2 linked regions of the Arabidopsis thaliana genome follow. The protein of the gene in region 1 purifies or fractionates together with the protein of each later gene. This does not show direct contact. Each region holds a gene or a part of one and is shown in the gene's direction. Other genes may lie near its edges. The genes, in order: CLC2 and AT1G47380.

What was found.
Region 2: the proteins of CLC2 (region 1) and AT1G47380 purify together in Arabidopsis thaliana (affinity purification with western blotting, with the first as the bait; one study listed by BioGRID). This does not show direct contact.

Annotation. Positions count from the first base shown.
Region 1 is NC_003071.7:16,718,610-16,735,417, forward strand, and holds CLC2 (Clathrin light chain protein), read left to right. Parts: upstream 1-7,814; 5' UTR 7,815-7,954; coding exon 7,955-8,241; intron 8,242-8,589; coding exon 8,590-8,743; intron 8,744-9,056; coding exon 9,057-9,392; 3' UTR 9,393-9,598; downstream 9,599-16,808. Other genes in the region: NRPD1B (nuclear RNA polymerase D1B), read left to right, coding at 1-82, 171-346, 459-534, 647-777, 971-1,125, 1,429-1,703, 1,845-2,018, 2,112-2,252 and 3 more; AT2G40050 (Cysteine/Histidine-rich C1 domain family protein), read right to left, coding at 5,310-7,139; AT2G40070 (flocculation FLO11-like protein), read right to left, coding at 9,769-10,032, 10,112-11,248, 11,556-11,670, 12,146-12,260, 12,359-12,551; ELF4 (EARLY FLOWERING-like protein (DUF1313)), read right to left, coding at 15,936-16,271.
Region 2 is NC_003070.9:17,368,825-17,385,632, reverse strand, and holds AT1G47380 (Protein phosphatase 2C family protein), read left to right. Parts: upstream 1-9,541; 5' UTR 9,542-9,763; intron 9,764-10,241; 5' UTR 10,242-10,327; coding exon 10,328-10,525; intron 10,526-10,603; coding exon 10,604-10,775; intron 10,776-10,908; coding exon 10,909-11,062; intron 11,063-11,151; coding exon 11,152-11,215; intron 11,216-11,484; coding exon 11,485-11,592; intron 11,593-11,711; coding exon 11,712-11,837; intron 11,838-11,928; coding exon 11,929-12,164; intron 12,165-12,282; coding exon 12,283-12,485; intron 12,486-12,603; coding exon 12,604-12,629; 3' UTR 12,630-13,262; downstream 13,263-16,808. Other genes in the region: AT1G47395 (uncharacterized protein), read right to left, coding at 2,364-2,516; AT1G47390 (F-box and associated interaction domains-containing protein), read right to left, coding at 4,977-6,089; AT1G47389 (uncharacterized protein), read right to left, coding at 6,259-6,981.

The DNA of each region.
Region 1 (16,808 bases):
AGCTACTGCCATGTCAAATCCTGCATATAAGGCAGTGCTTGATTCCTCTCCAAATAGTAATTCATCATGGGAGCTAATGAAGGTATAGCAATATCAAATCTGCCTTCTGAATACAGCTTTGTTCATCTGTATTGTTGTGTAATTGTTTTCTGTATTTGTTCTTTTCCCAGGAAGTTCTGCTCTGCAAAGTCAATTTCCAAAACACTACTAATGATCGGCGCGTAATCCTTTATTTAAACGAATGCCATTGTGGAAAAAGGTTTTGCCAGGAAAATGCTGCTTGCACAGTCAGGAACAAGCTGAATAAAGTTAGTCTTAAAGATACTGCAGTGGAATTCCTAGTCGAGTAAGAATTGGGTTTTAGTAACTTCAGTCGCTCTTTTTAGTGTTTGTGTTATTTTTTTTTTATGGTTTTACTAAACCTCTTTGCAATCTGCTTTCTCTTTACTTGCATGAAGATATAGAAAGCAACCAACTATATCAGAAATTTTTGGAATTGATTCATGCCTACATGGCCATATTCATCTTAATAAGGTTTGAATCTGGTTCCTTTACTGTTGAATCTTTCTGGAAGCCTCTACCTGTCATAGAAACACTTTCCTATTATCCTTTTCTTGCTGTGTAATTGGTGTTTTTGGTTTACTAGACATTGCTGCAAGATTGGAACATCAGTATGCAGGATATACATCAAAAGTGTGAGGATGTAATTAACTCACTAGGACAAAAGAAAAAGAAGAAAGCTACTGATGATTTCAAGAGAACAAGTTTGTCTGTCAGGTTTGTACAATGATTTGCTTTTCCTCTGGATGTCGTCTCTGGTTGAATGTTATGCATAATTTGTCCAGAAAGCAAGTCTGATGTTGATTTCTAGTTTTCCAGTTATCTTCTTTCCATCATTTTTGTTCTTCATAGCATAATGTCTAGCTTTGGTTTCTACCTGATTATGATTGATTTATTCTCCAATGAACAGTGAGTGCTGCTCTTTCCGAGATCCTTGTGGGAGCAAAGGTTCGGATATGCCTTGTTTGACGTTCTCCTACAATGCCACCGATCCCGATCTAGAACGAACTCTTGATGTTCTTTGCAATACAGTTTACCCAGTTCTGCTGGAAATAGTGATCAAAGGTATTTGAATAAAACTTTTCATTTTTGTATATTTCGCTTGTTTCCCTACACTTCGATTTCTTCTTTGATGGGGGAGCAGTGTATCTGATAGAGTCTTCCTTTCAAAATTTTGTAGTTACATGGCTTACGAAATTTTGTTTTTTGCCAGAAGTTTAATGAACCAAAATATTTTCTCAACTAGTCTGATTGAATTTTCCTCCAAGTTGTGATCGATATTCTGTGCTACTATAAAAGAAAGCCTATGTTTTAGTAAGATTTCTAGATACATGTTTTTGATGATACTCCTGTATCTAAACTGAGCAGGTGATTCACGGATTTGCTCAGCAAATATAATCTGGAATAGTTCAGACATGACAACGTGGATCCGGAATCGTCATGCATCCCGCCGAGGGGAATGGGTTTTGGATGTCACTGTTGAAAAATCTGCTGTCAAGCAAAGTGGTGATGCATGGAGGGTTGTGATAGACTCATGTCTTTCAGTGCTTCATCTAATAGACACAAAACGGTCAATCCCTTATTCTGTAAAACAAGTGCAAGAATTGCTTGGGTTATCCTGTGCTTTTGAGCAAGCAGTACAGGTACTTACTAACTTAAAACGTGATCCGTTCCTGGATCTTACACTTAAGTCATGATACTTCTTACATATTTCATGTTTGGTATCACATTTGCTCATTGTTTGTGTAAGGATTTTAAACGTAAGATGTTGATTTGATTTGCAGCGTCTATCAGCTTCAGTGAGAATGGTCTCCAAGGGAGTTTTGAAAGAACACATCATTCTCCTAGCAAACAACATGACTTGTTCAGGGACTATGTTGGGTTTCAATTCTGGAGGTTACAAAGCTTTGACCCGATCCTTAAACATCAAGGCTCCATTCACAGAAGCAACTCTGATTGTTAGTAGTTCAATCCTTTAGTCTAATACAAATTATTTTCTTAGACTATATACTGGCCGTCATGTTAACAGGAATTACTTTTTGTGCCTTTAGGCACCAAGAAAATGTTTTGAGAAAGCGGCTGAGAAATGTCATACAGATTCACTATCAACAGTCGTTGGGTCTTGTTCTTGGGGAAAACGCGTGGATGTTGGTACAGGCTCACAGTTTGAGCTCCTATGGAACCAAAAAGAGGTAGACATTCTCACTGGAAATCATACCAATTGACTGAGGTTTTCTCATATAAGTTTGTTATGTAATTTTATGTCATTTGTTGTCAACCTATTTGCAGACTGGTCTAGATGATAAAGAAGAAACAGATGTGTACAGCTTCCTTCAAATGGTCATATCCACGACAAACGCAGATGCATTTGTTTCTTCCCCTGGTTTTGATGTTACAGAGGAAGAAATGGCTGAATGGGCTGAATCGCCCGAGCGAGACTCTGCTCTTGGAGAGCCCAAGTTTGAGGACAGTGCCGACTTCCAAAATTTACATGACGAAGGCAAGCCATCAGGAGCCAACTGGGAGAAAAGCTCTTCGTGGGACAATGGTTGCAGTGGTGGTTCAGAGTGGGGAGTCTCAAAAAGTACAGGTGGTGAGGCAAACCCGGAGTCTAATTGGGAAAAGACTACAAATGTTGAGAAGGAAGATGCTTGGTCTAGTTGGAACACTAGAAAAGATGCTCAAGAATCTTCCAAGTCAGATTCAGGGGGTGCTTGGGGTATAAAGACAAAGGATGCTGATGCAGATACAACACCAAACTGGGAAACAAGTCCAGCTCCGAAGGATTCCATTGTCCCAGAAAATAATGAGCCGACTTCTGACGTTTGGGGACACAAATCTGTTTCAGACAAATCGTGGGACAAAAAGAACTGGGGAACTGAATCAGCTCCTGCTGCATGGGGTTCTACAGATGCTGCTGTTTGGGGTTCTAGTGATAAAAAGAACTCGGAAACAGAATCAGATGCTGCTGCTTGGGGTTCCAGGGACAAAAATAATTCTGACGTTGGGTCAGGTGCTGGTGTTTTAGGTCCCTGGAACAAGAAGAGCTCGGAAACTGAGTCAAATGGTGCTACTTGGGGTTCTAGTGACAAAACCAAATCAGGTGCTGCTGCATGGAATTCTTGGGACAAAAAGAACATAGAAACTGACTCAGAACCTGCTGCTTGGGGTTCTCAGGGAAAAAAGAATTCTGAAACTGAGTCAGGTCCTGCTGCTTGGGGTGCTTGGGACAAAAAGAAATCGGAAACTGAACCAGGTCCTGCTGGTTGGGGTATGGGGGACAAAAAGAATTCTGAAACTGAATTAGGCCCTGCTGCTATGGGTAATTGGGACAAAAAGAAATCGGATACGAAATCAGGTCCAGCTGCTTGGGGATCTACAGATGCTGCTGCTTGGGGTTCTAGTGACAAAAACAACTCGGAAACTGAATCAGATGCTGCTGCTTGGGGTTCTAGGAACAAAAAGACTTCTGAAATTGAATCAGGTGCTGGCGCTTGGGGTTCGTGGGGACAGCCAAGTCCCACTGCAGAAGACAAGGATACCAATGAGGATGATAGAAATCCGTGGGTTTCCTTGAAGGAGACCAAAAGTAGAGAGAAGGATGATAAAGAGAGAAGCCAGTGGGGAAATCCAGCCAAGAAATTTCCATCTAGTGGTGGCTGGTCCAATGGTGGTGGTGCAGACTGGAAAGGAAATAGGAACCATACTCCTAGGCCACCTAGATCTGAGGATAATTTGGCTCCCATGTTTACAGCAACGAGACAGCGCTTGGACTCATTCACCTCTGAGGAGCAAGAGCTGCTCTCAGATGTTGAGCCAGTCATGAGGACTCTCAGGAAAATTATGCATCCGTCTGCGTATGCCTTTCTAGTTCTTACGCTCTGTTTATACAATTTCCAGTTCTATGTATAATTAATTATGCTGTTTCACATGCCATATACTTGTTATGCTTCATCTATCTAAAACTATCTTCTTTCGATGAAGGTACCCTGATGGAGACCCAATTTCTGATGATGACAAGACGTTTGTCCTGGAGAAGATTTTGAACTTCCATCCCCAAAAAGAGACAAAGCTTGGTTCTGGCGTTGACTTCATCACGGTAAACAACATTTCTCCTTAACAAACTTAGCTTCTCTTCTAAAGCTTACTTAGCCTTATGCCTGATGTGAAATTCTTGGTTGAACAACGATGTAGGTTGATAAGCACACCATCTTCTCAGACAGCAGGTGCTTCTTTGTTGTCTCAACTGATGGGGCCAAACAGGACTTTTCATACCGAAAATCCCTCAACAACTATTTGATGAAGAAATACCCTGACCGTGCTGAAGAATTCATTGACAAGTACTTTACGAAACCTCGGCCTAGCGGAAACAGAGACAGGAACAACCAAGATGCCACACCACCTGGGGAAGAACAGTCTCAGCCTCCGAATCAGTCTATAGGTAATGGAGGTGACGACTTTCAGACACAGACTCAGTCTCAGTCTCCATCTCAGACTCGGGCTCAGTCTCCATCTCAGGCTCAGGCTCAGTCTCCATCTCAGACGCAGTCTCAGTCTCAGTCTCAGTCTCAGTCTCAGTCTCAGTCTCAGTCTCAGTCTCAGTCTCAGTCTCAGTCTCAGTCTCAGTCTCAGTCTCAGTCTCAGTCTCCATCCCAGACTCAGACTCAGTCTCCGTCTCAGACTCAGGCTCAGGCTCAGTCTCCATCATCTCAGTCTCCGTCCCAGACGCAGACATAAACTCTTGAGAACCAAAGAAGATTTGGTTCGTTTAGGTAAACCATTCAGTCTCCACTGTTTTGTTTTGATGTACATAAAGAGTGGAGAGAATGGCGGTTTTTATCATTAAAAGACTCTGATGTGAAGTGCAAAACAATGTGTAAATGCAGTTCTCTAGTTTCAGATCGTTTGTCCTAAAATCAGGTTTAGGGTTTCAGTGACCGGTTTAGTTATAAAGTCTAGCGGCATTGTAGTGATGTTTTGACATTGACTATTTATCGAGCAATGCATTTGCCATCTCATTTGCTTCTTGTTTGAAACCTTCGAGAGACGAAAATGATTGCCTTTCTAATCGCATAAGCACATGGTTAGAAATTATATCTTGTGTTGACCGATGCAGCTCCTCCGGCAGAAAATCATCTAATTCAAAGAGCTCTTGTGTAATTGCACGAATTGAGAAATCAGTTTAGTTTTATGAAATTGAAATCAATAATAGAGAAATTACATTTTATTCAGATGCATGGATACATTGTTTAAATACATTCATATGAACATTCAACACGGTAGCCTACATCATATATTTTCCCTATACAACGGTTCTTGCAAGAACCACATAATGGTCGAGAAATATTACATTTGGGAAGAACTTGAACCCTGCATACCCATTTATTGAAATATTGACCGGGCTTGATATATGGGTCTCCACCAATTAAGCATTCAATATGAAAAGTGGTGCAACACTCGTTGCACCAGTAGAATACTTTTGTGCATGTATCCTTTAAACTACGTTCACATATTTCACACCATTCTTGCTCACGTACTTCTTCACCAAATGAAATTGTGAGGAAGTGTGTGTCATGCTTATATTTTATTTTGTATGGTAAGGTAACACACTTAAAACATACAATGAAATTGCATTTGATGCAATTTAATTGTTTTAAACATTCTGTTTTGCATATATGACATATGGGTTTTATTTCTGGGTTTAAAGCTAGGAACAAGGGATCTTCATGACCTTTGTAATCAAACGGCTCAGAAATTAAAGCGCACCTTACATCAAGCTTGAAAAAGTTGCATACCTCCATCCTACAGTGATAGGCAAAGCCAATAGAACCACGATCACAAGCGTTGCAACGGAAGGTATTGTAAGTAAAGCTATTGATAACCTCCAATACAAGTGGGTGAGGATGTAAGGCATGTTGGATTCTACGGGGAGCCTTAGCACATGTTTCATGGAGGATGAAATCACACTCCATACAAACATATAAGTTACCTTCATAGATAGGAATGGCACACGCTTGACAAAGCATGTTTTCATCATAAACGTTGCTGACCTCGAGTCGGAGATGATGATTATGATGAAAATAAAGTATCACTCCTTCAGATATCACCTCGAACGGTCCATCATTTTCTGTTATATCGATTATCTCTGGTATACCTTCGAGTTCTTTTCCATCCCACACATCTTTCCCAAGAGCGCATATTGAATGAACAACATAATCGCTACACGTGTCACAAGTATATGCACCATAATCAACGTTAATACTTAAACGGCAAACTCCACAAAACCATTCTCTAGATGTAAGAGAAAAAGTGAACGAGATACGATGACGGTGACGTGATATCTTGATGATGTGTGGGGAATTCATACAGTCATTATGAGTTACAAAGTTACATCTGAAACAAACGTAGGTGGGATAAATTTTTCTCAACAAACCACAAACATTACAAGTCAAGGAAGTTTGTCTGGGGAAAAAAGTGAGAGGATGGATATGCTTTTTTGGTGGGTCTATAAGAAAAGGTATTGGCTTCATCGCACATATGGGATGCATAAAAGCCTGGCATGTGGTGCAATGATAAATCAACCAATGTGCTTTTCTTCCACAACATAAACACTCAATCTTACGAAAGTTATCATCATGAAAGAAAAGTTGGAGATAGTGCTCAGGGTGGTAAGGATGTTTGATTATAAGTGGAGATTGAATGCATTCTTTGTGTAATTTTATGCTACAATAGTTGCAGAAATAATAGTCGGTGCCGGAATTTGAGCCTTCGCATATGTAGCATCCACCATCAGCATCAAATTCTTTATTGTTGCACCAAAACAAAGGGAGTACATGATGATCATGAGAGGTCGTCGTTGTAGAAAGGACGTACTCGGGGGAAGAATTAAGCGGATAAGTGTCTGAATACGACTTGATTTTTCGACGTCGTGATCGAGGGCATAAGAAAAGAGGTTGAAGGTCACTGGAGGAGGTTACGGTCTGTGTTTGGGGTATGGGGCAATATTTCGGATGATGGTATACCAAAACAAGGTTACCATCCTTTTCCACCTCATAAAATCCTCCGACGCTAGAATCCATGAATGTGTTAAGTCTTTGTTTATTTTTGTTTTAGGCTTTTATAAAAAAATATTTGTCATACAAGATATCAAGTTGTTAACATTTTTCCTCTATAAATACGAAAATTTGATTCCAAAAGTTTTCTTCTACTCTTGATTATTAATATACTTAAACGTGAAAACATATGGTTGATTTTGTTCCTTTTCTCAGTAGTTGTGATGATAATGTTCTTCTTTACATGCAAATAAAGAATCAACTTTTCTTTGCACATAGTTTTGTTCATTTCTGATGTTCCATGACTTCAAGACTCTATATTAATCGTGCTCAATGATTGTGCCAATTCATTAGTAGTGTATAATTTGAGACTTTGTGAACTCAATCACGAAACACACAAAAAGAAAATGAAGGTTTATTCAAAAAAAAAAAAAAAATGAAGGTTTGAAATGGAAAATGAAACAATCGTACCAAAACCAAATTGCAAAACGTTTTAAACAAGAAAAGAAGAACACGTAGTTTCAATGATCCGGTTGAATTAGAAAGTAGAACAACCGAACCCACACTAAATTGCAAAACGTTTTGATTAAGATAAGAAGAACACGTATGGAACATTAATTGTAATCTAATGGATCGGTTGGAACCTAAACCATAACTAAACCGGAATACTCATGATGAATTGGAAGTATTTGGGCTCGAAAAAAGCCCATTAAGAAAAATGGAAATAAAAATAGTCACAAATCTCCGTTATTAATTTTTGCCATAAGCTTGAGAACACTTGAAAAGACAAGATTCGCGAGTTCTTCGTTCTGCCTTTTTTTTTTTTTTTGTGTGTTCGAGAGATGTCTGCCTTTGAAGACGATTCCTTCGTCATACTCAACGATGATGCGTCTGAGTCTGTTCCAGTCTCAGGCTCTTTTGACGCCACTGATTCTTTCTCAGCTTTCGACGGCTCACTCCAAGTCGAGGACTCCGTCGACGATGTTTTTGCAGCGCCGTCTTCTGACTACGGTGCTTACTCCAACGGTGACGGCATCTTCGGATCCAACGGGGATCACGACGGTCCTATCTTGCCACCACCGTCGGAGATGGAATCAGATGAGGGATTTGCTCTTAGAGAATGGAGAAGGTTAGATCTACTCAAAGTTTTGATCTTTGTTGCTTTTTGTTTACTTCTTCCTGAAGAAAATCGATAAAGTGGATAAATTTAGTTGAGAATCTCTTTGATAATCTGAGAATTTCAATTTTGAATTTTGATTCACAATTTTTGTGAATTGAAGTTATCTGCTAGTTAGTGTCCATTGTTCTCAGAAGTAATCAGTTTATTAGATTGGATCTGTTACTTTTGCTTAGAGTTTATTGCTCAAATCGTGTGTTCTAGAATAACATCTTGATCCGTAAGCTTGTAATGCTTGTTGAGTTGATTAAGATGTATAGATCTGATTTCGTGCTATGGCTTTATTATGTTTATGTGTAGACAAAATGCAATTCAACTTGAGGAGAAGGAGAAGAGAGAAAAGGAATTGTTGAAGCAAATTATTGAGGAAGCTGATCAATACAAAGAAGAGTTTCATAAGAAGATTGAAGTAACTTGTGAAAACAACAAAGCAGCTAACAGAGAGAAGGAAAAGGTTTGTTCTTTTGCTAAAAGATTTGAATTTTTTATCATCTTTTCTCAATCTGTGTTGTTGTCATGTGGTTTGTGGAGAATTGTCAATGCAAGTCAATGGCTTGTTGATATTAAAATTTTCAAACTTTGACCATCTTAGTCTTAAGTCAACTGTGATTGATTATCTTAATGCATTGTCAGTTTTGAGATTATCTTAATACATTGATTATCTTCATTACGTGTGTGATCTTTGATACCTTTTTATCTGCATATTGCATTGTTACAGTGTTGATTAAACTTTCACTTATGTGTTTATTTGTCTTTGAACACTTAAGCTGTATCTGGAGAACCAAGAGAAGTTCTACGCGGAATCCAGCAAGAATTACTGGAAGGCAATAGCAGAGCTAGTTCCTAAAGAAGTTCCAACAATAGAGAAAAGGAGAGGAAAAAAAGAGCAACAAGATCCTAAGAAGCCAACAGTCTCTGTGATTCAAGGTCCAAAGCCCGGTAAGCCAACCGATCTAACAAGAATGAGACAAATATTGGTGAAGCTCAAACACAACCCACCTTCTCACCTGAAACTCACTTCTCAACCTCCATCGGAGGAGGCGGCTGCTCCTCCAAAGAATGTTCCCGAAACCAAGCCCACTGAGGCAGTTACTGCTGCTTAAAAACCTCCTTTGTTTTCTTATTCGTTGCTTACATCTGTGTGAATTCAGTCTTTGCATTTCATTATGTGTTATAAACAGCTGAGAGATTTTATGGTTCATGTGTGTTATTAACATAATTATGTCATATTGGAATGATAACTTTTTATGTTTTAGTCAGTTACCATTGAATAGTGGTTAATATCTCAAATCAATCGGTTAAAGGATCCATCCATTTTAGGGTTAAAGTAGAGACGAGAGTGGAGAGGTTTACATAAAACATCAAAACGCTACTTCACATATCATCATTATCAAACTCGTGTGATAATTAAAACTCACAAACAATAAAAGAGAATCTCAAATGTGAACGTTTTACAAAAGGCTTTTCTTCTTTCTTCCTTCATCTCCCTTGTAAGCTTGCAGGGGACCTGCAACCTCTCTCGCTGCCTGCGTCGTCTTCCTTTTCACTTGCCTCTAAGCAAATGCCATTGTTGTTGCAGACACTGATCTCTGAGCTTGCGTTGCTGCTTGTTGCTAGTGGAGAAGAGTCTGAAACATTCATCGGTCTACCACGTGTATGTCCAGACCTCACACTGTACATTGATGATGCTGGAATATTCGTCATTAGTGGTCTCAGGTTCCCTGGAATAGTTCTACGTATATCCTGTTTTCATCAAAACGTTTGATCATCAGTTAAACGCAATTGCCACCACTTGAGGAAGAGAGAAGAGAGAGATACATACCATATGCCTTATTGCCATATCAAGGGACTTCTTGGAGAGCGTTCTTCCAAATCCTGCACTGTCGGGTGATGAAGACTTTGCAGACAAGTTACCATGAGGAGAACCCTTGTCATCTGATCTGGGTGGAGCAAGTTTCCGCATGTTTATTACTCTCTCCACCATTTTTGTTCCCATCATCACCGGACTAACATTGTCACTGGCTTTGGAATATCCACGATTAACCGCAGGAACAGAGCTACCACTAGAGTACATTGGTGCTCTTCCTCTTGATGGTGAACATGATTGCCTTCTTGGTCTTCCTCCTGGAGGGCCCCCTGGCTCAACTGAACCAGAACGAGAGCTTGGAGCTCCAGGTCTGCCTCTTGTCGCTGAAAGTGGCCTTTCGGGTAATGTTGTCCTTAGATTTGGAGGAGTTTCTAATGAGAAACCAGGCATGTCTGACGGCTTCCATGGTCTTGACCTCACTGTAGGAGATGCTGCACGAGATAAAGCAGGGTTCTTAGATGGTGTTGGCATAGGCTTTGCTGGCGCTGGAGAAGAAGGCTTGATTTGGGATATTGTGGGATTTGCTGTAGTAGTTGCAGCACTTGCAGAAGCAATTGGACGGCGAGTTGGTGTAGATGACCTTGATATGGTTTTAGATGGAGGAAGTGTGGGTCTTGAAGTTGGTGTTGAAGATCTGGCAGTAGATCTTGACAGAGGTGTGGTGGACCTTGAAGGACCTGCAGATTTTGTGGTGGTGCTAGGGGTAGATCTAGTTACTGAACCAGCAGATCTAGCAGTTGAGGTAGTCGGCTTAGATGCAGTAGGTGTGAGCCTAGATGATGATAAACTTGTTGACCTACTCATAGGCGTGGGCTTAGTCGTTGCAGATACTGTGGACCTCGAGTTAGTCAAAGAAGGTCGAGTAGCTGAGGAGACAGTGGCTCGCGAAGTGGGTGTTGAAGGCCTTGAGGATTTTGAATTTGCCGTCAGTGTTGATGATCTTCCAGTGGGTGTGGCAGGTCTTGATCCAGGTCCTCCAGATGATGAAGGTCTTCGACTTGCTCCACTGGAAGAGCTCAATCCAGGAGAAGAAGTTTGTTGTCTAGATGTTAGATGGTTCCTTGCAGCAGACTCTGTTGAGGAATTTGCCAGCTACGACAGATAATTCATAGGTTACCATAACGAAGTAGTGAAAATGTGCTACTCTAAAAAAAATCCAGAGCAACATCCCACATAGCAATAACGATAAATGCGATTTACTAGTGTAAATCATGAAACTTGAAATGTAAACGTCACAGACTGATGCGGCAGGTTAAACTAGTAGTGGCGATTCAAAACATATAAACAATAACAGCAGAGCTTTATTTTAATACTGGTTGCACTACATTAGGTTGTTTATCTAGTATCCATTCCAGGAGTTGATAAAAGAGGTCAGAACACTAAGCAATAACATTCTTACTCTGGAAGTCAATGTAGCCGGGCGACTCTTTGAATCACCAGTCTGACTCATCATAGTCCTATGTGATTCCATCTCCAGCGATGGAAATAGAGGCGTACCTGGAGGGGTCAGAAGCCTTCGAAAGACAAGAAGAAGTTAGGGTGGAAATGATAAACAGATAAATGATATATTGTTCAAGAAAGTATATGAATGTCTAAGAAGAGGTAAACAGAGATGCTGGAATGATGAACACCTTATGCAGCAAAATTCTAAACTTGATAAGAATTCAGTGCAAGACTCGCACACCTCACAAACAAAGGGTTCCAAATTGTGACACCAAATTCGAGTCTATTAGATTAAACACATGCCTTATACAGAATGATGTAATGTGAAGAAACAACACAATTTCAAGGAAACAAAACTACCACACATATATTACTTCAGAACCTCATGGTTAAGATACAGCAAATCAGTAACTATACTATCACAAAGAATACTTAAACCGCCTGCACTTAAGGTGGCTAAGAAAATTCAAACCATCACCGGTGAATATGTTACTGAAGTAATGAACCATAGCGTCGCAACATGAAAGTTTGTGATCAAAAAGTTACCATTCATAGTCATTTTTATCGCCTTCAGAATTGAGAAAATCATCAGGAGCAGCCTTCCGAGATGGTGGAGCACCACTTGAGATGTTAAACACCGGCGAAGTTCCATGCTTTGAACCTAAATAGACCAAACCCCATCAATAACTAATCAACCTCCAAGCTCAAATCAGAAACCTGATTCCACAAAATTAGAAAGAAAGAAAACATATTACATACCTAATGGAGTTTCAAACTCATCAGGGTTATTGTTAAGAAGAAGATTATCCTGCTCTTTCTCACGGCGTCTCATCTCAAGAAACAAAGAAAGCTCTTCATCTTTCTCAGCCATCATAGAAGCCCTAAGCTGTTGCCTTTGTCTCTCTGCTGAATCCAGCAATAGAGACTCTTTTGCCCTAAAACTTCGATTCATTGCTCACCAAACTTTACAACAGATCAAAGAGATACACTAACTTAGCTTCCAATTTACTCCCAACGGATAATAATTATCCTATAATCTTTAAAAAGTTAAATAATTGTCCTAAAATTTAAGAACCCCAAAACGAAAAATCGAAACTTTCACAAGCTTAACTTGCAACACATTTTTCAGAAATTTCCCATTTTGAAAGTTAGTATAAAAAAGGGGAAAGTTAGCTTTTTTAATAGAAGGAAGACACGAGCTTTCTTCTCAAAGAAACCGCCATTATCGAGGAACGGAGCTCAAGACCCTAGCCCAACTACAGTTAACGGAGAAAAAAACCCAGAAGCAGAAGAAATAAAAAAAAACTAACAGAGAAAGAGAGAGATTTTGGGAGATCGAGGGAGAGAGATTGAGGAATTGGGAGAGAGAAAAGAGAAAGTGTGAAGACGAGTGGCATTGAGTGTAAATACTGAGCTTTGTGATCGGTTAAATTGGAAACTTTTTCATAAGTTCAAAAGAAAAAAAGTTTATTTTTTGGGTTTGATGAGAAGAAAAATTCAGTGACGGGACATGACATCTGGACTGGTACCTAATGTGTTATCAATTGTTTCTATCGCTTGAAGCCTAAGGATTCTCAATGATTATTCCGATGTTTTTTTGTTTGTATTTTAAGATTATATTGTCAGAGTTTTATATTCTTCAACCATTGAAACACGACTTACTCGAAATTGATCAATGATTCTTGAGTTTATTGTATTGTAATCACGTTTGTTGAACCATATAAAGAAATATTGTTCGGAGTGGTAAGACCTTTGTTTGAATCCTAATTATTAAAGTTGAACACTATATAGACCTAACTAATAAATTTATTTCAATTGGAAATTAGTTTTTTCATACATTATTAGGTCTTAATCTGTCATTAAGTACCTACTGATTAGGTAACATACTAAAATTTCTAGTTTTGGCAATGATTTTAAGCTTAAATATTCTAAGAAAAATATAAATTTTTAAGCTCATTATTGGCAATTGTGTTTTGGGAGGGGTTGACATTTTGAAAAGTTGGTGGATCGGATTGTTGTTGTTCAGTTGGTTAGTAACTCACTTAAAACACTATTGAGTTATGAAGTCTAATGTTTGATCCGAAGATCGGGCCGGGCATTAATCGATATAAGCTAAAAGAAAGGGTGATATATTGTCATAGTTCGAGTGTCTTTTGGTTAAAATTCCGGTTTAGAATGCTCAAACGAAGTACTAACTATTTTGGTATCACTTTGTTAGACAAGTTTGGAGGAAGGAGTGATAGTGCGTGATGTTTGTTGTCACTATATTGCAACATTTCTCAACATTTTTGTTGTAATATACGATAAACTGTGTGGTTGTGTGAAACATCATTTGGATTTCTTGACTAAGGATCGGATTTGCCGTCGTAGATGGAGAGCTAAGTTTGATTAATAGTTTAAAACTTAATATTCCACTAGATTTATATGATTGTGATTAGTGTCGTACACACTGGTCGAGACTTGTAGGGCAAAATCCTAAATTTTAGATGTTGCTAATTTGGAATACACTGCACCTTCATTTGTCTTCCCTAGGCTCAAGCCTACAAGTCAAGAGATTAGCCTCTGTACCTCTATCTCTAGTATGTATACCCGTGTAATCTTCTTCTTGAGGAAAAAAGAAAAAGCTCATATAAGAACTTCTATGAAGAAAAAAGGTTTACATAACTTAATCTGATGAAAGAGACAAAAAAATTCAATGGTCCAGTAAGACAAGATAATATAAAAGGACAGATATTTCTCCTACGATTTATATGGTCAAGGGCATGTACAATGTCATTGTCACCACCATCACATAACTGATGAACACCATCATGTTGAAAACAAAGTGTTTGGAGAAGACAAAGCCAGTAGTTGTCAAAATGGTACAGAGAATTTTGTCATAAATGAAGTATTATGACACGAAAACGTTGAAGATAGATTTGATCATGTGGTGTATTTCCTAAAAAAAGGAATATAAGTTACTTCAAAATCCTTACAATCACACAATCTTTAATATGTCAATTACATCTAATGATATGAAAATGTATCCTCTTCTATATAAAGATTAAAGAGTAAACAATATAAATGAAAATGTATCCTCATGAGTCATGATTCAAGAATAACATCAACCATATCAGTGTTGTAATGTTTCTAATCTAACACATCTTATGTCCACCACAGTCCAAATTAAGCCAAGTGCAAACTGCTTAATGACATCAACTCCAACAAGCAGTCGATTCTTGCGAGCCCGACAAACCCCATCAGGCCCAAGTAGTTGTTTTCTTTCAATTGTTTAGTTTGATATTAATGTGACCTCTGTTTTTTTATCCTTTTCGACCATCAATTATTTTTCCTGCTTAGACAAAGTAAGTTTGTAATGGTTTTGAATCGTTTTTGTATGAAATATTTTTTCTCACGAAGAACAAAATTCTTAATGCTCAACAGAAAAATCAAATTCAAATGTTACAAAGTATCGTACATAATTTCCTTATATATACCATATTACACACACAAAGAGAGCAAGAATTTGCTATTTTATGATGACTGAGAATATAAGGTACAAGAAGTTTACAAGAAAAAGTAGTGAAATCATAAATTTACTCAGTCACAGCAGAGCTAATCACTTTAAACCTCTTCATATGCCATTTTAATCCCAAAAAAAACTTATAGGTTTGATAGTTCATGTTTTGATATGAAATTGGCCATTTGTCCCCTTTCAAATAACTATGCTTCTTTTTAGTCCTTTTTGTGCAAAAGCTCTTTCGTCTTCTTAAGATCTTTGCTTTCTAGTGGTATATGAATGCCGAAATAGTTTGCCTGGGTTTTAGATCATGATCTCATGTATCAACATTTATTTTACTGCAGTTTCTGTTTGCTTTTTGATGGAAATGAATATTGTCACAACGTAGAAATTTTCTATGCTAGAGTTCTCTAATACACAGCCTAGTGAAAAGTCACTAGAAAACAACTGTATTTAACATGTCATACCAAATTGCATCACTATGTGACGAAATTACTTACTCCAAGTTGCAACAATCTAACCACAAGCCTTCATTTATTATCAAGGTCACATGAGAAAAGTCTCTAAATAGAATCAAACCAGAAGTAATCTAATACTGTATCAATTATTATTATAATCATTAGAGAGATTGCAGTAGAGACACATTGAAAAAGACTCAAAACCATAACTAAAATAACCCCAATAGAGATGGGTTTGCTCCCACGGATTATTCTAACGACAATCATCATTGCAATACAAAAACTAAACATTTACTTTATATCATAGCTTGAACCGGACAGATTCAAAATTCTCAAACCGGCCGGTCCAACTAAGAAGAAACAATTTGATTCCGGTTCATTAAGCTCTAGTTCCGGCAGCACCACCACCATCGTGACCGTTCTTCCCACCGTGAAAGCCCGACGAGAAACTAGTATTGAGATCAGAATACATGTTAACAACCTTGGAAATGTTTCCGTTGAGTTCTTGAATCAAAGCAACGTTCTTCGACATGTTATCAGCCATTCTCGATTGGTGATTGTCGTTGACTTGTTGAATCAGTGATCTGTTTCTGTCTAAAACTGATTGCACTTGTCTGAAATTCCGGTCAAGATTCTCCCACATCGCCGGATCCTCTCCCTGCTCTGCCTCCTCCGCCACGTTCCTCCGCCGTTTCGTCTCGCCGTTCCTCTTCATAATAATTTTTAATTGTGTTTTTCTCTCTTTTTGATTTTCGTCAAAGTCGAGAGAAATCAGATATTTATAGTAAATATCTTCTGAGTAGAATCGGACACCGAGGCGAGTAAGTTCTGTTTCATCACCACTTGATTAACAAGAGCGTGTATCTCACGTAGACGTATCTATCTGATATCAAAGAACACGCGCGTGAGTGAAGCTGTGAAGTGATTGGGTAGAGGAATAAAAAGTACATATCTTTTTATGCACTTTTCTTGGATTTATTTTTAATTAAACCATGGAGAGAGATAAGGATCTTATTGTAGAAATATCTAAAGATATTTATTGTAAAGTGAATATAAAGTAAAATATGAATAAAATAGGGAAAAAGGTATATGGTGTACGACTTGCCACGGTGCAGCAGGAACCAAATTCCTATACGCATGATCTCATGTTTAATGAATTGTAGTGTTTCACATCTAATTAGTTCCAAGTTTAGATAAACATTACAAAGAGTGTTAGATTCTTTAGAGAACAAACAAGAAGAAGAATCTCTAA
Region 2 (16,808 bases), on another chromosome or scaffold:
TGGTCAAGACTGCCTTGTGGAGTTTTCGAATTGCTCATGTTGCTGTGTGTTTGGCACAATAGTTATTGCATTTTTCCTCACACGTAGGATTTTAATATGACACATCAGACGTTAAGTGAGCTCATTGGTCCATTTATATTCCTTTCTAGTAACACATGTAAAGCATTTTCCTTTATCACTAATATTCTTCCCCAAGCTCAACAAAAATAAAATTAAGAAAGACTTTTGGAGCTTTATATAAGATTCTAGTGGCAACATTGGTCGCTTCTAAATAATGTGATTTTGGGAATTGATATCTCTCGTTATTTATTAACAATTAGTTGTACATGTACCTTGTGACCTAGCCTGTTCATAAATTATAGGTTTTGTCAAGTGCTAAATTACACAATATCGTATATATGATTCCATGTTATCGGAATACACTATTTTAAATATTGTACTTATTAATAAATTTTTTAGCAATGGAACTTAAACTAAATAAATAGTTCGGGAATTTAAACTAGAACTAGAAAACGAACAAATGAAAATATTCTAGAAGCCAGCCAGGTCACAACCCGTGTCCGTGTGTGACCCAACGCAAAACTAGGTCATAGATATCTTCGTCATCTTGGTCAACGTTTTTGACATGTGCAGCTTGACCATATTCCGATTCTTGATCATTATTAGCCATGTTGCCCCCAAGGCAAGAATCACTATCAAGGTCTTATATGACGAAAAACTCAACAGAAAAAAACATTTTCTTGTGGTTAATGAACCAAAACAAAATGCTTAAACTAAGCAAAACGGAAGCTAGAAGATTTATTTGCGTTTGCTGAGCGGAGGAGAGATCGCCACTGGGATCATTATATGTGAAAAAAAAAGTTAACAATAGTATGAACTGATCAATCTATTACCATTTCAGCCTCAGGTCAACCTCAGTAAAGACTGTGATGCGCTTAGAAACAAGTGTGCTTGGCACACATATAATGAAGAGATTTTTCGCAACACATTGGACGAAATCATAATGTGGTCCAGTACTTGTAAAGCCGCATCACATTCAATAATTACAAATCGAAAGAAATCAAGACGTTTACTTGTTCTAGTACATCCTCTAGTATCTTTGACTGATTCGACTTTTTATACCTCCTCAAACAAACTACAGACCAATTTTGTTTTTAATACCAAGAGGTTCTGGGCTGAAAACTGTAATCCCTTCAGGCCAACAATCACAACATGTAATATTAGGTTCGTCTCAAGCGTAACAGGAACCAACGACCTCTAAACTACATACCATTTGTAGAAAGATATTTAGGGTTTTATAAATTGTAAAACTATATATGATTTACGTACATGTAACATATTCTATGAAACCAATCCATATAATATGTATCACTTGCACTACAGTACTAACAAAACCATGAAAAAAATATTGGTCTGATTTCTTTGTGCCATAATTTAGCCACGTTTTTTTCATGATTTGGCCATAAATTAAAAAATGAGAAATATATAACTATGTTGTGACTAGTTATCCATGAAAATAATCCATGGCTAGTTATCACTAACTGGCAATGGATTTATAGACAAAAAACAATTTGCCACGAAGTAGCCGCATATGTTTCATTTGTCCCTTGAGGGTTAGTTAAAACAATTGTATCTATTTTGAGGCCCTTATTACAGTCCAAAGGAGATATATATTTGCGTAAAACAATTATACTGACACCATATAAATTTTCTCCGAGAATATGCTAGCTTGATAAATAAATATTTGCGCAGTCATCCAAAACACCAAAATATTTATCTACATGTCTTGATTTTGTGGAGTAACAGTGTCGAGGTGTTTCTTATGGTATTTATCTACATGTATACAAACACCTAATTATTACAAACTAGTTTGGGTCTGCCGCTCTGGATGGATAAATAGATACGATGAGCTAATAACGATTAATGTACAAATTCATTAACCAAAGAAGATTAAAACAAAAATTAGAGAAATTGATGAACTAATGAAATACATGTATGGCTCCCCTTTGGTATACTTTCAAATTGTAAAATTTTCACATCTTGAATGATGAACCAGTTGGTTCAAACTTTAGATCCGGATTTCTTCGAGTGAAATTTTTAATCTTGGGTGAATGAAGAAAGTGAATACTAACCACTTAAAAATTAGTAAAAGTGAATGTTACACTGATAACTTTCAAAATTAAGAGACAAAAAAAAGTGATTGTGGTTAAGGACTAAGACACTAGGAAACCATGTTTGCTCATTGACAAGAAAACTCGAGACACAATCTAGTACATAAATGGTCTAACTAATATCTAAATTATCTTATCATCTCTCTCTCTCTCTTTTTTTCTTCTAAATTACATTATACTAATAGGAGACAATCACGCAGCAGGAGCATAATCATAGCCACTGTCATCGTCATCACCACCATTCTCAACACATGTCGCTCGAGAGCTATCCACCACATCTTCAACATACACCACGGAAGCACGGTCAAAACTCTTGATGACCAAGTTAGCAACGTAAGACATCATTTTTTTTTTCTGTTATGAAGAGGCCTGAAGAAAGATTCACCGAGTGAAGAAGTGTGATGAGGTTTTAGTGTTGATATGAGTTTGGTGAATATAATAAGAGAGACTGATGAGGCTTTTATAGGTGGAAGTTAAAGGTAAAGCAAGTGTTGAACGCACTCTGTGGTCAGGGATGCCTCTATGGAGTTTGCGAATTGCTCATGTTGATGTGTGTTTGGCACAATAGATATTACATTTTTTCTCACACGTAGGATTTGGTAATGACACATCAGACGTTAAGTTAACTCATCGGTCCATTTATATTCCTTTTTAGTAACACATGTAAAGCATTTTCCTTTCTCACTTATATTCTTCCCCGAGCAAAACAAAGAAAATGAAAAAGAAAGTTTTTGAGCTTTAATATAAGATTCTAGTGGCAACATTGGTCACTTCTAATTAAAAATTGCGGAATGACTTCAAACTTTAATCTCAAAAACATCTTCCCTATATCTAAATAGCTTTTAGGTTGCCCATCAATCACTTTTTGTACCAAACCTTCCCATCTTTCTCTCTTGTGTTGATTGGGAAGATGCGTGGTGTTGATAGCCTTTGTTCTCATAGTTGTTGTTGAATTGCTTCAGTTGGAATTATCTACACTATCGCTGCTATAGAAGAGGATGTTGTTTCTATAGAAGAGTATTATTTTTCGTTGAAAATCAACATAACAGTCTTTTTAGTACTAAATGTATATATTGTCTGTATGTGGGTTGGATTTTTGGCTTCCTAATCCGAGATTTGGGGTTAAGCTAGCCAAGTCAACAATGTAGAAACCAAACGACAGCGCTTCGTTTGCCCTTTTTTTTAACAAAATAATGTCCGGCTCAAAGTCAAGATGAAGAACGAGATAGTGGATCAAGTTTGCTATAAATTAGGAAATTGTAAAAAGAAAAGAAAAAACGCAAAAAAAATGAGCAACAACTTGCACCATCAGGTCTTACAACGTTAATTTAGGCTGTGAACGGTAACCAAAACCGCACTCAAAACTACATCGCAACAATGCTGTAACAGTATCAAAATCTCTACATATACATATGTATCTATGTATTTTCGTTACTATTTGAACCATACCGCAAAACGCAGTCACCATTCGGAGCTTTAGGGTCCGAATGGTAACCGCGGTTTTTGTTGTGCGGAAAAAGCGTTATTATAGTGCGGTACGGTTCAACTGCGGTATGTGCGGGAGAAATATATTTGCGGGACAAGTGCGGTTTGTACAAAATAAACGGTACAAAATAATGTTTGATTGGTGAAAAAAACTACTTGCGGTGCGGATTATAGATTATATATATATATATTAATATATATTAATAATTATAAATCCGAATATATTAGATTTTTTTAGTAATTCATATACATTTAAATATATTTGAGATAAAAGTAACCAATGTTATAGTTTTCTTTTTAGGTAAATTTAGTATTTTGGTTATTGGTATATATGAGTAAAAAATCTGAACCGACCCAAACCCGAAAATATTTTGAGTATTTTTGGTTACTTTTGCATTTATACTAAAATAACCGAACCGATCCGAACTCGAATCGAAACCGAACCAAATTTTTAGAATACCCGAATGGTTCTTAACATCATACCTGAATAGAGCCGATACCCAAAAGAAAAAAAAAAACTAAATGGGTACAGATACCCGAATGTCCACGCCTTAAAAATATGATATAAAAAAGATAAAAAATATGTATTTAGATACAAAAATTATACATATACATATATTTTTAATAGCTAAAGAAAAAGAAATGAATATCATTCATCGCGTATTTTACTTGTACCACATGGTAATAAGATGTTTCAGTTATAAAAGGGGGTCCATGTACTTTTACGCTGTATATGAAAAACGCAGTATACATTTTAAGAAAAATATAAAAAACGCAAATTTGTAATGATAAATGATGATTGGTGTTCTAAGTGCGGTTCTCAAAATTCTTTCGTGAATTCCGCAAATTATATGTTACCATTCACACCCTTAGTGTTTTGTTCCCTATTTATAGATGAGATACTGGGGAACAACTTTTCACCTGATTGTAAGTTAATATATAGCATGTTTCTTCAATATGAATTATAATAATTCATGTTGAACCCATACATTTTCTCAAATTAATTGGCAAACATATAATAACATGTAGAACAGAACATATAAGAACAGAACAAAAAAAACATGTAGAACAAGAAAACGCTTTTATTGCTATATCGCAGTAGCTAACAAATGCTTCCAAAGAAAATAATTTGGGATAGAACTCAGCATCGTTAGATGTAAACTGAGTCCGTAAACATTCAATCTAGTTTGCTATAAAAGTTCGAAAATAAATTATTATGCCAAGAAAAAAAAAAGGAAAACAAAAAGGAAAACTAGAAAACAGAATATAGTTGTAAATAAATAACATACCAAAACCACAAAAGAAGCCAGACTAATGAAATCAAACTTGTAATGCTGCTTTTTTAGTTTGACTTCGAGGTATTGAGACCAAACTGGGGAAAAAGCTACAATGCAAAGGCCAGGGACCAACCACAGAATCTATTTGAATTTTACTGATCAACTTATTGTCCCCCACAACATAGATCCAAGCTTGGCCAGTTTGGTCGCAAGAACACACAACGAGCTTTTTATCGTCGATGAAGTAACTTGGGTGTACTAAAACCGGCAAGTTAAGAGTTGACACTTCCATGAAATTCATCCATTCCGCTGAATCCACATCTCCACTAGAGCAGTTTCTAATCTTGTTCTTGGTCACCCAAATCTCAATCTTCTTTGTTAGATGGCATTGCTTTAACAACGAAAGCCGATCTTCCCTAAAAATCCTAAGAACAAGAACATCGTGATGATGGTTCTCCCCACATGGTAGATCAGAAAACTTGTAGACCTTTTCATTGGAAAAATTGTAGTAAACCAGGACGAACAAGGAATTATTCTTTAGATGAGAGGCAACCCAATACAAAATTCCATTCAGTGATACACTTGCACCGAATAAAGTAACACCACTACTACAACTCATGACCAAATTTGTATATTTCCATGAATTGGAGGCAAAGTCATGGATTTTCCAAACTGATCTAGTAGGGTCTAATTCATTAGGATAAGACACAAGGGTCTTGTAACCACTACTCTCAAGTTTCATGTTATCATACTCATAACCTATGCCATTGAAACACAAACTAGGTTGGTTTACCTTTGGCTTTATCCATTTAGCCTGTCTTAACCACGGGTTCCAAACCACGATGCCTTCTTTTTCCATGCCACATAGCAAGAACCCATTGCAATCAATCAAAATTTTAGGTTTAAGTTCTAAACCGGGAATATCCAAACTTAACTCACGCACTTCTATCTTTGGAGTCATGCTTACCGAGTAGAACTTAGATTCGGTTGCTAAGATGAATCGAAATGTCATCTTGTGGTTGTTAATGAACATCTTATCGTCGAAGAGGGCGTTCCATTTCTTAGAAACGGTTCTGAAGCGAACAAGAGATTCAGGAGGGACACGAGAGAGTATCTCTTCAATCAGTTCACACGGAAGCTTCTCCTCAGGAGCCATTATCTCTTCTTTTTTTTTTTTTTTCCGACTCTTTTTATATATATACAAAAGTTTTCGTAATTAGGGTTTCAACTGAATGTTAGTAAAATATATCTCCCAAAGATTTGAGATCTTTCGAAACGGAATTTTTTTGGATTCACTTTTTTTTTTTTCCTTCTAAAAACTTTTATTAGACAATTAGTATTACAATAGCAAGTACAAAGCCAATACAAAACTTCAGAAACCAACTTATTACAAAAGCAAAATTATGTGCCAGAAGATGACGAAACTGAAAAAGTGAATTTAACGATGCTTCCTTTCGATAAGTCTTACTCGATAACATGTTGTTAAACATGTTATGTTCCTCTTTCATTAGCCATCTTACTCGAATGTGATATGTATGCCATATTGGCATTCTTTGTTTGAAACTCCACATCACATACACAAAGCTCGTTGCTCCTGGAGAAAGTTTTGAGAAACCGACAACTCGATACCAATTAGTCCGTATCGGTGTCATAGTGCCCATTAGAAAATTTGGCTTGATACCGAAGTAATCCCATCCATTCATACATCTCAAACCAAAGACGTTGTTAGAGATCTTCACGGCAAATGTCTCCGAAGTGATTCCGGGGTTCCACATGCGTCGAAGGGCGCAAATTTGCATTAAAACGATGTTGGCAACTATTGCTGCCAGACTGAGAAGACCGGGCATACCCGGAAAAACACCGTGAATGAACCATATTATCATCACACGGACAATAACGCCTTTGGTAAAAAGAACGAAGACCCTAAGAACGAGAATCGAAATGGCGGCATCGGATATCGATGTGAATCCCCAAACTTGAGACAAATTCAACCATGGATTTGTTAACAAAAACATCATCATATCCAGATCGCTCCCAGACAAAACCATCAACGAAAACCCATATCTTACTTTGCCACACGAAGCTATTTTGACTGCAAGAAGGGCAAGCAATATCAATTGGGAATTTGGTTATAATCACAAAATCAATCGTGTCTTTTGATTGAGATTTTATTTTGAATTTTTTTGGATTCACTTTTATTCACACTTTCTTTTTCTACGCAATCAAAATCTACTACAAATATATATATTTAATTGTAAAATATTTTCTCCCACCAAAACAAAGTTATAATATCCTTGTTAACAGAAAAAACAAAGTAATATATTGGTTTTGGATAATAAGGGAGGGTTAGAGTTTATAACAGAGAGTAAGAGTTTATGTTTTATAATTAAACAAGGTTAAATATTAGTTTAAGTTTATGAACGAGTTTAGATTTTATAATTTAATGAGGTAAAATGTTGGATTCAGTTTATAAAAAACGGTTAGGGGTTTAAATTTAATAATAAAACAAGGTTAAATATCGATTTGGTTTTATAAAAGAGGAATATAGTTTAGATTTTGTAGTTAAACGAGATTATATGTCAGTTTGGAGTCATTAAAAATTGTTTAGGATTGAAATTTTTGACAATTAAATGTGATTAAATTATTGTTTTGTTTGGATAAAAGAATGATTAGAGATTAGAAATTAGATTTACAATTAAATTAGTTTTTCTTATAATTAAATTTAAGTGTTTGATTCTGATGGGTAAGAATAAAAAGGGTGAAGAAAATGTTTAGTATAAATATTTATGTATAGTCCTAATTATGAATTTATGTATTTGGGGAGTAAAAACATAAGTTGTAACCTTTAAAGTGTAACAAATATTATTAAGATATCATTAGAAAATTGTAATAGTGTAACGATAGAAATTCACTAAATAAATACACAGGTCATGGGTCATAATTCAGGTTTATAAAGATCTACAAAGATTACATACAGTAAAACATCTATAAATTAATAGTCGATAAATAAATAACCTCTATAAATTAATAAATTATTCCGATCTCGAGTTGAGACCAGTGTAAAAAGTGATACAAATCGATACATTAATAAGATAATAATTTTCCTGAAAATCCTATGTAAATATATGGTCTCATCAATATCATAAATTAATAATTATATAAATGTATCAACTACATATATATATATATATATATATATATATATATATAAGAAATTTCTTTGAAATTATATTTCTAATATTTGTTTGCTTAAATTTGTATTTGTTCTTATTTGAATTTAGTTCTAATATTTTACAGTATCAAAAAATTTTGGTGTTGTTTTCTAAACAGAATAATTATTTTTTACTCTAAGCTACCTAAAGTATTTATAATAAGTAGGGTCTATACAGTGTATAATATTTGAAATGTATAAGAATAAAATTATATATAGTATGGGTACTATTTCAAAATCAAAGTATTAAATTGACCTAAATTATGTGTATTTTAAATAAAAGTATCATTAACAAAAACAACAAAATGATGTTTAAATTCATGAGACGGATATATAGGGTGGGACAGGTTTTGATCTATATTTATTCTTCTTCACTAAACAAAACAAACAACAAATACTTCTAGATTAAAAATTTGAAATTTAATCAAATTATATATAATTTAAATAAATATATTAGTTGAAAGAAAGAAAAAAATGATGTTTAGTTATGACGAGACGAGTTTATATGGCGGGACGAGTTTGGATAAGACGGATTTATATTGCAAGATGAGTTTGGATGGAACATGTTTGGATGAATATTAATATGAGACAATATACTACAAGTGGAATCCTATAATTAACAATCAAATTACAACTATACAATCTTAAACACTATTTTTTGTAATCTTTTAAAAATCAACATTATATCAAAATAAGTGTTAATCTTCTTTGACACATCTAAATGTGTAATTGTAATACAAACTTACTAAATTACAATAATTCTACAAGTTAAATCTATAAACACTGAAAGTTTTAGTTATATATTTTTGATACAAAAATGTGAATATAACATAACAGATTAATATTATTTTGTCTTTTAAGATTTGACCCGTGATACACCAAAAGATAAACTTATTAATATTGTAAACTTATTTCTCACTAAAAATAATAAACAAAATTATCGAGAATCATTAATCAACACAAATAACAACAAACATTATACATAAAAATTCATTTTATAAAAATCAAACATAAATAAAATATTTGACCACGATATATTGCGGATCCTATCCTAATCTCTCTCTATAAACTCCTAATTCTTGTGAGAATTCACAACCCAAATGTGAAATCAATTTATTGTAAAACCATAACATAAAAATAGAATACATTTCAAGATCCAAGTATAAATAGTCTTTTTTTTTTTTGTCGTACTACTACGTATGGGGTGTGTTGAATTTTTGGTGTTGATAATCCGAGATTTGGGGGATGTTAAAAGCCAGGTCGACCACGTGAGAACTGAATACGACAGCGTTTCAATCAGCGCCGAATAAAAACACACATAACGGTGCTTATTGCTGCGAGAACGGCGGAACATTTTTTTTTATATTTTTATTTTTATTACTTAATAAACAAACAATAAAAAAAAACAAATTAAAAAGAGACAGAGAGAAGAAAGAGAACCTCCTCACCTTCCTCCTCTCTTTGCGCGTTTTCTCTCTTCTCTCTCTCCTACGGCTGTTGAAACCAATGGCATTTCTCCACTTCGCCGGAATTTCGATCGGAAGATGAATCGTCTCCTTCGTCTCTCTTCGCTTAATCGTCGATCTTCTTCTGTCGCCGTCTAATTGCAAATCCAAATCGTAAACGCTTCTTCTCTTATTCTTCCTTCCCCCATTGTTATCGTTTCTTCGCTCGATGTGATCATATTCGATTCTTAGAGTTTTATCGCTTCTTTCGATGAGATAATCTGCGTTTCACATTTCCAGATCATTTGATTGCGTTTGTTTTTTGTGTTCATTCCCGATTTTGAACTTTTTATATGTTTTCACTGGATTTATCCGCGAGCGACGGAGAATTCTCGAGGACGCATTCTGATTTTGAATTTGTGTTGCTCAAAGAATTTGAAGATCTAATTCATGTTTTCTTCGACGAGATCGTTTTTTTTTCAGAGTTTTTTTAGTTTGATTCTGCAATGTAGATCGGAATGTTATTGTAATTTCACGAGTATAGATTGGATTTATACATTGAATTTGACTAACTTGGATTTCAAGTTTCAGATTGTTCAAATTTAGAGGTTCTGATTCTTGAATGTTTTTTTTTCTTTTAATTGTGTATCAGGTTTTTTGTATGGTATAGAGATTTGGTGAAGAACTAGACGCAGCTTAGAGGAAGCTTTTATATTTATTGAAGCTTAGGGGGAAACAATGTCAACAAAGGGAGAACATCATACAGTTCCACTTTCTGTGTTGCTTAAACGTGAATCAGCTAATGAAAAGATAGACAATCCTGAACTTATACACGGCCAGCACAACCAAAGCAAGAAAGGAGAGGATTTTACTCTTGTTAAAACAGAGTGTCAACGTGTTATGGGCGATGGTGTTACCACCTTCTCCGTTTTTGGGGTAATTATTTGCCTTCTTTCTCTATTGATTGTGGTCCTATCGATTTTTGTAGTTAAAACATTGAAATGTGTATTGCAGCTTTTTGATGGACACAATGGTTCTGCAGCAGCTATCTACACTAAAGAGAACCTTTTGAATAATGTATTAGCTGCAATACCTTCTGATCTTAACAGAGATGAGTGGGTTGCTGCACTTCCTAGGGCTTTGGTTGCAGGATTTGTGAAAACTGATAAAGATTTCCAGGAAAGAGGTATGAACTTATCAATGAAAAACCTTGTGATGTGATTCAAGTCCCAAGAGGGTGAACTCGTCTGTGTCTTTATATTCTTATATCATTCTGGTGAAGGCTATGTTTGAGGTTTTATTGTTTTCTTGCATTTCAGCAAGGACGTCTGGAACGACTGTAACTTTTGTCATAGTAGAAGGATGGGTGGTGAGTGTTGCATCTGTAGGTGACTCTCGTTGCATACTTGAGCCTGCTGAGGGCGGTGTCTATTATTTGTCTGCTGATCATCGGCTTGAAATAAACGAAGAAGAGTAAGTCAGATTTTTTCCTGCTATTCACCCAACTGATGATAATCTTGATTGTATACAATGGCATCTCAATATTTTGGCTTTCTTTTCAGGCGAGATCGAGTCACTGCAAGTGGTGGTGAAGTTGGTCGGTTAAATACTGGTGGCGGTACTGAGGTACTTCTTTAGATAATTCTTGAAAGTTTCTTCTGTATGCATTAAGTCTCACGTTATCATGCGCTCTTGATACTAGCAATATATAACTAAAAGGTAACTGAGTGCAAACTTCTAGGATGATGTTCCAGAATTGGATGTTTTTGCGAGACTGTATTATACTTAGCTGATGAACTGTCATATTGTGGTAGCTTTGTAGAATGTAACACATAGGGAAATATCTTTGTGCCGTCAAATTGAAGAGTTTTGATAACTAAATCTTATTTTTTTAGATTGGTCCTCTGAGATGTTGGCCTGGTGGTCTGTGTCTCTCAAGATCCATTGGAGATCTGGATGTTGGCGAATACATTGTTCCAGTTCCTTATGTAAAGCAAGTCAAGGTTCAAAACTCATAACTAAATCTAATCTAAATTGATCTTTATGCGCTTATAGCACAAGCTGACATTCTAATTATTGAGTTTTATACTGAAAACTGTATCTATTTATTTTGGTTATGTAGTTGTCTTCAGCTGGTGGTCGACTGATCATCTCAAGTGATGGTGTGTGGGATGCAATATCTGCAGAAGAGGCTCTTGATTGTTGCCGGGGGTTGCCACCTGAATCTTCTGCGGAGCATATCGTTAAAGTATAGTATCTGAATTACTTTATTTTAGATATATTCTCTACATATTCTTTCTTGCCTTTATAGTACCTTGATATTTTATTACTCCATACAGGAAGCTGTGGGTAAAAAAGGTATTCGTGATGATACAACCTGTATTGTTGTTGATATATTGCCACTAGAAAAACCGGCTGCTTCCGTGCCGCCTCCAAAAAAGCAAGGAAAAGGAATGTTAAAGTCCATGTTCAAAAGGAAAACATCTGACTCCTCTTCTAATATCGAGAAAGAGTACGCAGAACCTGATGTAGTTGAAGAACTCTTTGAAGAGGGCTCTGCTATGCTATCAGAGAGGTGTGATTCTCTGAATATATGTGCTTAAGCATATACCATTTTTCATACTTGATAGCTTCATTTCGATCTACTAATCTTAACCAAGTTTTCTTTCGTTTTTTTCTTCTGTTTATTGCAGATTAGACACAAAGTACCCGCTTTGCAATATGTTTAAGTTGTTCATGTGTGCTGTGTGTCAAGTAGAAGTGAAACCTGGAGAAGGTGTCTCGATCCATGCCGGGTCGGATAATTGCCGTAAGCTTCGTCCCTGGGATGGTCCATTCCTTTGTGCAAGTTGCCAAGATAAGAAAGACGCAATGGAAGGGAAAAGATCATCGGGAGGTACACACTATACTTATATATCCTTCTTTATTACCTCCCGTTATTTTGCAAATCGACTAAGAATCTGTCTATAGATTTCTTATGAAAGCTAATTGTAATATATTTTTGGAATGTTCAGATAGACATAGTAGTGAAAGCGACTAGCCAGCAATCTGCAAATTATTGGCAAAGCAACTAACAAAACAGTATTGTGAGTAAATTGGAGCAGTTCAAGGATCTTCGGGTTGTAATTTTTCACCCATAGAGAGATATGAAGTTCCTTGATAAACCACCAACATTCTTACCATTCTCCAGCAGACTCCAAGGAAGTTTATTTATTTTTCTCCCACTTCACGACGTCTTACATCAAACTTGTTTCAAAGTAGAGGTAATTCATAAGTTCTTTTCATTTTTCCTTTTCATTTTTTTTTGTCCATTTGTGATCACTCTGTGCTTTGGTATTTCAAAAATGAGTAGAACTAACTACCAGAGACAGTAGCTTTATTACGTCTGTTGAAATGTTGAGTCGTTTAGGAAGAGAGGGTAAGGAAGATATGCAAGTATGTGTGCAATTATTTCAATGTATAAACCGAAGACAAATTCTTGATAGAAATCAAATCATTTTTCATGTAACTTTAATTATATCTCGTCTTCTACGCTCATAAATTTTATGTGCCTCTCTCTCTTCCAGAGTTATGTCTTCAAAGATAAGAGGACTTATATTGTTTAAGGAACCCTCAGAATTTACATCTCAAAATGTAAGATGGAGATTGTAGTAACGTAGATAAGAAAAGTAAACCTGTCTAGATTTGTTCTTACAATCTAGAAACATGTCGAAAACTGCAAATGTATTGTGTAAGGTTATCCTCAAACGAATGAGATATTGGAAAACAAATGGCATATTCCCCCACAAATTTTATTGTTTTGGAGTATTTATACACATAATTTTTTGGCGTGTGCTTACAACTACATAAACTCACAATAAATTTTAATTTCGTACAAGAATTAAACAATTCCGGCCGAAACCATCAAATCACCAAAGGTTGTTATTGTTCCGCTAATGACTAGGATACCACGTAATGCAGTTTGCGTTTTTAACCATAAATGGCAGTCGTTTTATTACAACAAAATCTTAAAACAACATAAAACTAAAACACAAGATCATACCAAAAGAAATGGATCTGAAACAAAACATCAAACTTGAACAACATACAATAACATTAAAATAATATGATAATTGATCCAAAAATACATCATAATCCGAGTATACAAGCTACATAATCAGATATCACATATAGAAAATTAGAGATGAATAGTTTGCATCTCGTTCATGATCTCATGTAAAGTGGATGCAAAATTTTCTTATTTTTCTCTTCTTTAGTCATCTCATAAAGATTGAAAAATATGAATAATAAGTTTTACACTTTCAACCCAAATGGTAAAATTTGAGATGAATCTATATTTCATTCAATTCTTTTCTACTGAAAATGCAATCATTTTTCCACGTACTTTTCTCTTATCAGACTTGTGCCTATGTGTGTAACACATTGCATCTTGTTGTCCTTAAGAAAGTAAAACCTGGAATAGTTGGTAAAGAAATTTGAATATAGATGAATTGAATGAAAGAGTACTATAGGAAATTTAATCAATATTAATTGCTACTTAACACTCTCTACTTGATGCAAGAAAGTAAATACTTTATAAAAATTGGAAACTTATGCAATTAGTTTTTCCTTCTCTAGATCAACACCTCTATTCCGATTGCTTTGATCCAGAAAGTAAAAAAAAAAATACGGTAGCCATTAAGCATATATTATATAGTTTTAGTTCAAATCAAGAGCATACATAAGCAATTTCCAAACCTTCAGACCTCAAATCAAATCTCACCAAGACTGGTTCCTAACTCATTGCCTATAGCTGGTTCTCGGATAGTGAGGAGTGCTGCATTGTGAGGAAGTAATGTTCATAAAACCGTCTAACATGGGTCAAGCAAAATCCTTTATATAGATCATCTATTGGATTTTTTCCTATAAAACTTCTGACGATCATTACACTGGTTTTGACAGTTGGTAAGGTTATAGACGTACTCTCATCAACCCATGGACATAGCTAGAGTTTTGGTAGCAGATCAGTTTCTTCAAGTGACATACCGTATATATATACTTGATGTAAATTCAGGTGGTTCATCCACAACTAGAGCTTTATGTTTAGGTTCATCTACTACTAGTGCCGGCTTAAGTACAGGGACGGGTAGTGCGACCGTCCTACATCCGAACAATTTTTCTTCTTTTGTATATTTAAAAGGGGTACAACTTTTTTGTATATATAAAAGGGATACAAAAAATATTATATATGCAAAAGGAGTATAAAATATATATTTTAAAAAAATTTGCCCTAAAACACATAATATGTATGAGCCGGCACTGTCTACTACACAAGCTTTCGCGGGACTAGTTATGGCTGAAGGAAAAACATTTTCAGCTTCTTTGGTAAAAAAAATTCACCCGTTCTTTTACGTACAAAGTAATTATTATTAACCACTAAGAAGTAGGAAGTCTTATAATCTGAAACATAGAAATTAGGACTTTAATTTCTCGGTTTGGACTTAGGTTAGCACCGCCCTATTTTAATTTTATTTTTACCACGGCTTTCGTCTCTTTGGTGAGTTTTAATTTTTAAATAGTCTTAAAAACTCTGTCTTTTTATTTGGTGAAGAAAACAAAAAAAATTTCATATTTTGATTCCTTTTATTTTCAGTTAGGGTCTCTTTATTTTCATGGTAGCTAGGTTTGTCTAGTTCTTAATATCTCTGTCTTTGTGTTCGACCAGCAAATAAAACGATCATGATTTCAGATTCCATCCCTAATGAACTCATCCTCGAGATATTGTTGAGAATACAAAGTCAATTGCTAGGTGCGATCGATATATATATTACAAAAAAAACAGTGTTGTTGCAACGATATTTTTGCAATGATTATATTCGTTAAAAATTTGTAACAAATTTTGCTATACTTTTGCAATGATGAGTGAACGTTACAAACTTACAATCGTATTACAAGTCTATTGCAAAATAATGACAAAACAATATTGCAACACGAAATATTTAAACAAATAACATTATTCATTTTCTACGTAAATTAATGTTGGTTTTGTGTAGTTATGTAAATGGTTTAGATAAATATGATAAAATGATAAAAAAAAAAATTATAATGGGAAACAGTGGTGGAATAAGACACATATTAGGTTAATAATAGATAGCTACTTAAAAAATTTATTTTATTTTGAAAGTAAGTGATGGAGTTGTAGATAGTAATAGATAGATAGATAAATTTGGGAAATGAAAAATAAAGATTTAAAATATTTAGACATGTAGTCCCTGTTCATTTGCCTGTCGCTGGCGACTGAAACCAGCGACAGCGACCAAAAGTTGTTCGTTTGCCTGTCGCTGGTTCAACGACCAAAAGTAGCGACCAGCGACCGCAATTTTTGATCGCTGAAATTTTTAGCGATCAGTCGCTGGTTTCAGCGATTAGTCGCTGCTTTTGGTCGCTGAATCCAGCGACATGCAAACGAACAACTTAGCGATCAAAATAAATAAATTAAAGAATAATTAAAAATAATTAAATTAAACAGGATTAAATTAAATTAAACTTAAATAAATGTTTTTTGCACTCTGAACAGTTGTGTCTTTTAATCGCAACTTTCCGTAAAAAATATTGACGGTTGTTTTTTCTCGCTTGTATCTTTTATTGCAATTTGCCTATATTGTAATTTTCTGTCAAAATATAAACAAATTTATAATATTTTCTTTGCAATATCACGAGGGATTTGAGTTCTAGTTTAATTAAAATAATTCTTATTAAATTTGATAAAACTAAAATAAATAAATATATTAATTTATTTTTTCTCATGGTGTATGATATATGATTTACATTTTGATTTTAAAATATAAATTAGCACAAAAAATAATTATTTTTTTTTAAAAATATAGCAACTGTTTATAACGACAGTCAAACGAACAACACTTTGACAGTTATTAGCGATTGTCGCTGTAATTGGTCGCTGAATCCAACGACAAACAAACGAACAATATATGTTGTCGCTGGTTGCTGTCGCTGATCGCTGGTCGCTGTCGCTGAATCCAGCGACAGAGAAACGAACAAGGCTGTATATGATTTTTTTGGCTACGGTACCTTCTTGTATTTATCCACGAGTTATGATATCCATTTTTGAAGCGTTTTTTGTGGACTTTCAAAGCTCTCTAATGAACGTACTTTGACTATTTATAGATTTAATAGCCAATTTATAAAGTCGTCATGTGTTTGTGACGACTTTGTACTTTAG